Caenorhabditis elegans: one gene and its partner. The protein of the gene in region 1 purifies or fractionates together with the protein of each later gene. This does not show direct contact. Each region holds a gene or a part of one and is shown on either strand. Other genes may lie near its edges.

Region 1 (3,925 bases):
TTTTTCGTAGTCTAGTGGCAAATATACATTATTTCCAGGACACCTATTCTCATAACCTACTTGATTCTTTTTTCAATGTTTTCCAATCAAGCGAATCACCGGATCAGATAATTCCAGTTGATCCGGAACCTTTTCCGCCACCGCCCGTCGGATAATCTCTCTTCAACAGCTTGTCACTTTCTTTTCGGATTGTCTCATCGTTTTTGTTGTTTTTTTTTTTGCGCGCACATCTTTATTGTTTCATAAATCCACCAATTGGTTCTCTGCTGGACGCTGTGATAGAGTGTGTGTGAGATTTGAAGAGATGCAGAGAGAGAGTCAAGAGGGGCGTAGATATATTCCCGAGAATAATGTGTGTTGAATTGAGATTAGTGAAAACAAAATATGCAGAAGAAATCGAAATATGCATAGAATATTATTCAAATGTTCATGTTTTGTGTAGATTTACGTCAGTTTAGTGTAGATTTACAAAGCTTGATGTAGATTTACAAGTTGACCAACAGAATTTTGTGTAGATTTATAAATTTTTATGTGTATTTACGTGGTCTTTTGAATAGGTTTTTGAATTTTTTTTGTAGTTTTCATTGTCGATTACAAGGGTTTGTGTAGATTTACGAGATTTCTGTTTATTATTACGATATTTTTGTAGATATACGTGTGTTCATGTAAATTTGCTAGATTTTTAGTAGATTTTAGGGCCTTCTTGCATATTTAAGGAGTTTGAATTTTGTGTACTCCCTTATACTGCCAGCCGTCTCCTCATTGTGCTTGTTCAGCTGCCTGCCACTTTCGCCTCTCGCTATCTCTTTCATTTCTCTCCTTTTTTTTAATGGCACCGATTACACTGCATTCCCGTGTCCTCGGTAGTATAGTGGTGAGTATCCGCGTCTGTCACATGCGAGACCCGGGTTCAATTCCCGGCCGGGGAGAACCTTTTTTGCACAATTCTATCAACAGGTTGCCCAGCTGGGATATGTGACCTGAATCCCATGAAGCTTCACAGCGTCAGTTGGACAAAACTTTCACCTACTTCCGTGTAACCGTCACTTTCGATTCTGTGCCCTTTTGATTCTCCAGTATGTTTGCGTCTCTCAGGCGGCGGCCTGCTATTATCGTCGGCTGGCCGCTGCTGGTCATTTAGTGTCCGGCATGTTTGCTTACCGCCGAAACGATAGATATATGTCTACTGTTTTCCCGTTTTGGGGTGGTAGGTAGAAGCCAAACCACTTACCTGGTATGTCATTAAACCATGAATATAGGAGTTAAAAACAAATTTTTTGGTGTTTTGTGTAGATTTACTGAGCTGTGTTGTTATATACGAGATTTTGTGTGGATTTACGTGGCGCCTTGTAGATATACGAAGTGTTAATGTAGATGCTACCAATTTTGTATATTTACAGAATTTCTGAAGGTTTATGACGGTTGTGTAGATTCAGGTGGTTTCTTGCAGGTTTACCATTTTTTATATATATCTAAAAATTTTCATTTAGACGTACTGAGTTTTGTGTAGATTTACGAGGATTTTTAAAATTTGAAGTTCCAAATTTTTTTTTTTTGGAAATTTTGAAGTCAAAAAAAAATTTTAATCCAAACTCTACAAACAATTAGAACGCCCGTTTCTCTCCATTTCGAATAACTCATGCTAGTCGTTTGTAACCCCATAACATGTTTAAACCGACGATGCGCCTACCCTCCTCACCGCCCTTCCGACTGCTGGTGTCCATTAATTAACCTGCCGGAACGAATGCAACTTTAAACTTTTCCTGTCCAAGTTCCGTTTCACTTTGCATACATCTTCGAAATAGCTTGACTTTTTGAGGTTTTTTACGTTTGAATTTTCAAAAAGAGTTCCATTAGCTCAGTTTTTGTTCGAACGTTGTGATAACTTTGCCAAACGTTTTCCTATTTTTTGTCAAACTTTGTGATATTTCTGTAGAAAGTTTTTCCATTTCTGACCACTCAAACTTTGACAGCTTTCTGTCAAACGTTGTCCAATTGCAAGAGCAATTCATCGTATTACGCCTCAACCTTCTGTAGAAGTTTGTCATACTTTTGTCGAACGTTTTCATCTTTCTGTCGAACTTTAAACTATTCCAGGAAGACTCATAAATGCCGCCTAGGGTCTTCCTCAGAACTAAAACTTGTTCAGTTTTCTTTTTCTAGGTCTGCATAAATCTAGAAATAGAGAAATAAATGGAAATCCTACAAACACTAACAAACAGACATTTCCCGTCTTTCCGTACTTTTCCATATCCAAGCTTTTTCCTTACAACTTCCTCTTTTTTTTCCAGGTGATGCCATGAAATATCCCTTTCTCCTGATTCTTATTCTGTCAACACTCCCGTCTACAGTATCACCATGTGAGATCACTTTTATCTTGGAGACTTTGAAATCCGTAAACTCCACTGCAAGTCTTATTATTCGAAAATCTGTGGATAGTCTATCACAATGCACCAGGTTTTGCTCATCGGTAAGCTTTTTTGTCTTGCGGCTGACGTTTCGCGGGATGTGCCGGCATTCTAGTTCAACTTAAAGGGAGCTGGGATCTAGCCTCCTTGGAAGCCATATAGCAACTAGTAGCTAATTCCCTGGCTAATATAATTTCACTAAACGACCGAAAAACTCTCGTCAGGTACCAAACTGCACGCATTTCACTTTCTCGAACGCCGAACCCATTGAAAAGAAGAACGGTGGTTTCAATTGCCATCTTCACTCGAAGTCACCCGTCTTAACGACATCTGGATCTCGGACGGTAGGAACGAAAACTTGTTTGGAAAGTGAGTAATTGACGGCGAGGTGGTCATTTTGACTTTCACCCCTTTAATTTCAGATAAATGTTTGAAGAGAAGTTTTGCGTTTGAAAAGTTCCCAGGGAGGTCGTTGGTCAACTCATCGTTTATTATCAAGACATTTTCGATTTCGATGGAAGAATGCTTGTCACAGTGTCAGAAAGAGTTAGTTTTTAATAATATACCTTAAAAACCGCAAAAAGTGAAAAAGGGATAAAGTTGAAAAATTATTTTTTCGTTTTTTTTCTAGAAAATTAGTTTAAAATATTTTTTGAGTTCGATGCAGTTTTATAACATATTTTTAAATTCAAAATAATTTCTGAATTTTAAAATTATATGTTGTGATGATGGAAACAATTTGAAGTCTATTGAAGAATTTTCTTTGTAAAAAATCTGAAATTTTCTGATCGAAAACTTATCATCAAATTTTATTTTTCAAAATAAATGTAAAAAAAGTTCCTACATACATAAAACTTTTCATTTTGGAATTAAAAACTTAAAAAAAAAAGTGTGTTCTGTTTTGTTAAACTTCGATGCGTTAAAAAATTTTACTGTTTTTTAAATAATATTCTGGAAATATTCAAAAAATTAAAAATCTTTTCAAGACATTATTTTAAATTTCAGTCAATTTTTTTCTCAGGTCATCTTGTCGTGCTGCTCTGCACAACAATGACACCTCGTTATGCCAGTTATCCAGAGTATCCCTTAACTCTGTGTACAATCCAAGACTATACTTCAAAGCAAGCTATTCTGTGGATCTTTATGAAAACAATTGCGTTGATTGTAGGTCAATTTTTTTTGCACAAAAAATTCCGAAATTTTCAGATGCGATGACGTCATCAGCGTGTACATTTATGCGTGTCAACGGGGGTGGGCTGAAATCGGTCAGTGATCAGTTGATTCAAAATGTTGGAAGTTTTGATGAATGTGAACAAATGTGTGTGATAAGAAGTCGCATTTCAGATGTTTGCAGGTTTGTTGAAGGCTTAAACTATTATCTGTAAAAGCTGAAATTTTTTTCAGATCCTATACCTATGACAACTCAACCAACGAATGTAACTTAATGTGGGCATCTGCTAGAATGCTAGGAAGAAGCCCGCTGGAATCAATGAAGCCGAATTTGTTTCATGGTGATT
Region 2 (3,925 bases), on another chromosome or scaffold:
TTCAGGCAAATAGTTGATATGTCACTCAAGTTTATGGATTACTGTAAGAGCTTCAAGGTTCCTCACCTACCAAGAGAAAAAGTTGAACTAAGAATTGGAATTAATAGTGGTGAGTTTGGCGTATGTATTTAAAAATTTAAACGAATTTTACTTTTTCAGGGCCTTGTGTTGCCGGTGTCGTTGGTCTATCCATGCCCCGTTATTGCCTATTTGGGGATACAGTGAACACTGCGTCGAGAATGGAAAGTAATGGAAAACCATCAATGATTCATATGTCAGAAGCTGCACATTCTCTGCTCACAGATCATTATCCTCATCAATATGAAACAAGTTCAAGAGGAGAAGTGATTATAAAAGGAAAAGGTGTAATGGAAACATTTTGGGTTCTCGGAAAAACTGACAGTGACACAAAATCATTGAGCACTCGAACAACGCCACCTATCACTGATGAGAATTGGCCTCCACAAATGAAAGAAGATTTAAAGAAGCGAGCAGTGACACCTTATCCAGAAAGGCAGAGGAGTGGAAAATCAAAAATGGATACGTTAAAAGTTGTTTAAATATATACGAATATTAAGATTTAATGAATGTTAAAAACAATAGTTAAATTGAATAAATGAACGTTCTTTTTCTTTGTTAGCTGTCTTTGATTGCAAATGGTGGGAGTTGGAAATACTTAACTCGAACAATAGTCTGCCAGAATTTCTTGGATCACACCTTTCTCTATGGCTGGAAAATCGGAAAAAAACCCTCTTAAAAGTGAGAATTTAACAAAGAGAAACATAACAAGAATATGGAAAAAGTTTGAAAAAAATCATTTATCGGAATAATATTTATATTCAATTAAAATCCTGATACTTTATTCCAAATTTCATAAACAAAAATTTGAAACTAGGACTTTTCATACTTGACACGTTCAACAGCCACCCAGAACTTCTTATTGTCCTCCGAACGAAAACCGATCGGTCCCAACTCGCAGTCTCCACACATCAACACCTTCTTCTTGTCGACTGTCTGCCATCCGACTGTATCGAAGATCATATCATTCTCAGTATACCACCACCAACTGATTTTCTCTTGAGCCAGAGGTCCTTTCGCTTGATGTGTCATCACACGAAGCTGATATGGCTGATTCTCGACGGTCATCACAACGTCCTCCGGGAAGATGACCGACTTGCAGCGACGGCAGACCACTTTGTGCAGATTACGGTCGTCCTCATTGATCAAATCGTCTTTGTTAACCTTTTCACATTTTCCATTTACCGGTGTGTTTGCTGGTTGCGGTCGGATCGCGAATAGTTGAAGTTTCAGTGGTACTTGCATCTGAAAAAGATTGATTCAGAATTCGAGATCTTAACGAAGACACTAAAGTGCCTTCAACGAAGACATTAAAGTGCCTACCTGAGTGCCTCATGCCTGACAAGTTTGATAGGCGACCTACGCCTATTGTTATTCAGGTAGGCAACTTTAAGCCTACGTGGATGGCTTAGATTTCAGCAAATTAAAACTCACCGCTTGTGAAATTGACCATGAAAATTGAAATGAAGAGAAAATTGAAAGTGATGGGGAAGGAGAACGTGTAAAATTGAAAACAAAAAAACAATTCAAAACATTTTTACACGCTATTATATTTTTTACTTTTTAAATATTCTCCGTTGAAACTCGTAATCTTCCTTGTCATCAATGGCACCGTATAAACGGAAACTCATTGGAATCACCGAAATTTTTTACTTTTCAGGAAAAACTTAAAATTGGGACGTTTTTTCCAACACATATTTTTTAATAAAAAATACCACTTTTCTGTCAAATTTATGTTATATTTACATAAGTCAGAACTTGACACTTCAGTTTAAAAGCGGATGATGTATTTCTGCGTGGAACTCGTCACGATCTCAGCCACAGTAGTAGCTCGGGAGGCATATGGAAGCAGATCCCCTGCTAGAGCATGAGAGGTCAAATCTGAAATTTTTCAGATAAAAACTCCATTCCGCCAAGTGTTATTCCTGTTCTATTTCTAAAATTTCTCGAAAAGAGCAGCCATACGTCAATGGGGGTAAAGCTTAAAAGAAGCCAATCATCTACTGCCCACTACTTCCATGAATTATGATACTCTTTTCTAAATATTATTTTTCAATGCGCCAATTAAATTATTACATTTTTATTTCTACCATTCTAACGTACAATTTGACCCATGGTCAAGGCCCAAGGCCTGTAATTCGGGTTGGAATAACTGCAGCTTTGAAAACTGAAAATGGATCAATTGGATGGGCATATACTGGTGGAGCTGTTCCATTGGCATTGCAATATTTGAAATCGCATGGTTATATGTTGAATTTTGATTTCGAGTGAGCTTTAAATAGTTTTTTAAAAAATTCAGGAATTTATCTCATTTTTTTCTTTAAAAAAAATTAAATTTCAAAATTTTCTTCACTGAAATCACTGTTTTATTACTAGTCCCGTTTGCAACTTTATATTTCCAGATTCCACGTTGAGTACACAGAATGTGACTTGGCAAATACTGTCAGGGCGGGACTGAACTTTATGAAAACCAATAACTACGATGTGATCATCGGACCGCCTTGTGCTCCGGCACTAAAAATGATGGGAACTCTGTCGACAATATACAAGAAACCAGTACTCGGTTGGGGATTTGTCAGTGAATCGGAGATTTCTGATATGAACAGATTTCCATTTGTTGCGTCGGTCTTGCCAAGCACCAAAACGTTAGTTCAGTTTCATCGTGGCTTTTTGGACAACTAATTTGAGCAGTTCGTAGTGCCAATTTGCAGACTCGGAGTAGTTACATCAAAACTTCTAGAGATTTATGGCTGGGATCGTGTAGCTTTGTTGTATTTTAAGAATGAGTTGGACTACTGTAGTTCGGTCGTAAATGATGTGGAGAAGTCCTTGTATAATGAGAGCAAGTCTGTTCAAATTGTAATGAAGGCAGAAATCGATGGTTCCAACAGTGAAAGCACAAGTGCAACGCTTCAAGTAGTCAAGACTAGAGCTAGAGGTAAATGGGTTTAATTCAATTTTGGGAGTATTGACCCTGACTAATCTCATTTCACCCCGTGCATATTTCTAATAAATTTGCATATTATCGGAACTTGTCAGAGAAAGAGAGAGCCAATTTTTTGAGCAGCTTCCGCAATTGAATTCTTTAAACTCATTTGCTTTGAATATTTTGTTTTTTACCTTAACCATTTCCAGTAATCCTTTTCTGCGCCCATGCTGGAGGTGAAAAGCGATTTTATCTGATTCAAGCTGGTTTACTCGGAATGAATTCTAGTGAGTATGTACATGTTATGCTTTCAATGAGAAGCGTCGGTTTTGGAGTTCAAACTTCTGTTGGGAAAAAGCCATGTAAGGTCTACTTGTGATTATTTTTATCAAATATTCCTATATTCTACAGTAACCCTCTCTGGCCTACCTCCAATATGGGAATCATTCACTGTGAATCCTGATGGTATGGAAGATTTGGCAAAGAGTGTAGCTGCCAAAATGATTGTGGTGATTTACTGTTCAGTAGGTCTCTCTAAATATATTTTTTAGATAGATACAAGCAGTGAAGTTCGAGACAAAACATTTCTGCAATATATGACTAAAAATATAGTATATGCTATTCGAGAGCCCCCATTGAGTTGTAAAGTCCCAGAATGTTTAATAACTAATGCTACGGTTAGTGAATTGATATAGAAATTTGAAAATATGTTTTGTTTGTAGGGCATGGGAGCCTATGCCAGACATTTGTTTGATGTATTTTACATGTATGGAATGGCAGTGTCAAGTTTGAATTCAACTGATCCGAATGTCTACGGAAATTTGTCACTGCTAATTCCTAAGTTTACCACTGCTTTTGAAGGTAAACTATGGTATAGAGAATCTCTTTAAACTTAAAATATAAACTTCAGGAATGACCGGC

Evidence for each region.
Region 2: the proteins of cutl-28 (region 1) and gcy-4 fractionate together in Caenorhabditis elegans (co-fractionation; one large-scale study listed by BioGRID). This does not show direct contact.

Annotation. Positions count from the first base shown.
Region 1 is NC_003282.8:682,206-686,130, forward strand, and holds the start of cutl-28 (CUTiclin-Like), read left to right. Parts: upstream 1-2,291; 5' UTR 2,292-2,299; coding exon 2,300-2,470; intron 2,471-2,632; coding exon 2,633-2,777; intron 2,778-2,830; coding exon 2,831-2,954; intron 2,955-3,429; coding exon 3,430-3,572; intron 3,573-3,614; coding exon 3,615-3,762; intron 3,763-3,812; coding exon 3,813-3,925.
Region 2 is NC_003280.10:10,307,035-10,310,959, reverse strand, and holds the start of gcy-4 (Receptor-type guanylate cyclase gcy-4), read left to right. Parts: upstream 1-2,133; coding exon 2,134-2,345; intron 2,346-2,480; coding exon 2,481-2,723; intron 2,724-2,789; coding exon 2,790-3,016; intron 3,017-3,213; coding exon 3,214-3,366; intron 3,367-3,415; coding exon 3,416-3,513; intron 3,514-3,555; coding exon 3,556-3,681; intron 3,682-3,726; coding exon 3,727-3,865; intron 3,866-3,914; coding exon 3,915-3,925. Other genes in the region: Receptor-type guanylate cyclase gcy-5, read left to right, coding at 6-109, 160-560; ZK970.8 (Mss4 protein), read right to left, coding at 892-1,323. UniProt on the Caenorhabditis elegans protein: Guanylate cyclase involved in the production of the second messenger cGMP. Regulates chemotaxis responses toward Br(1-) and I(1-) salt ions in ASE right (ASER) sensory neuron.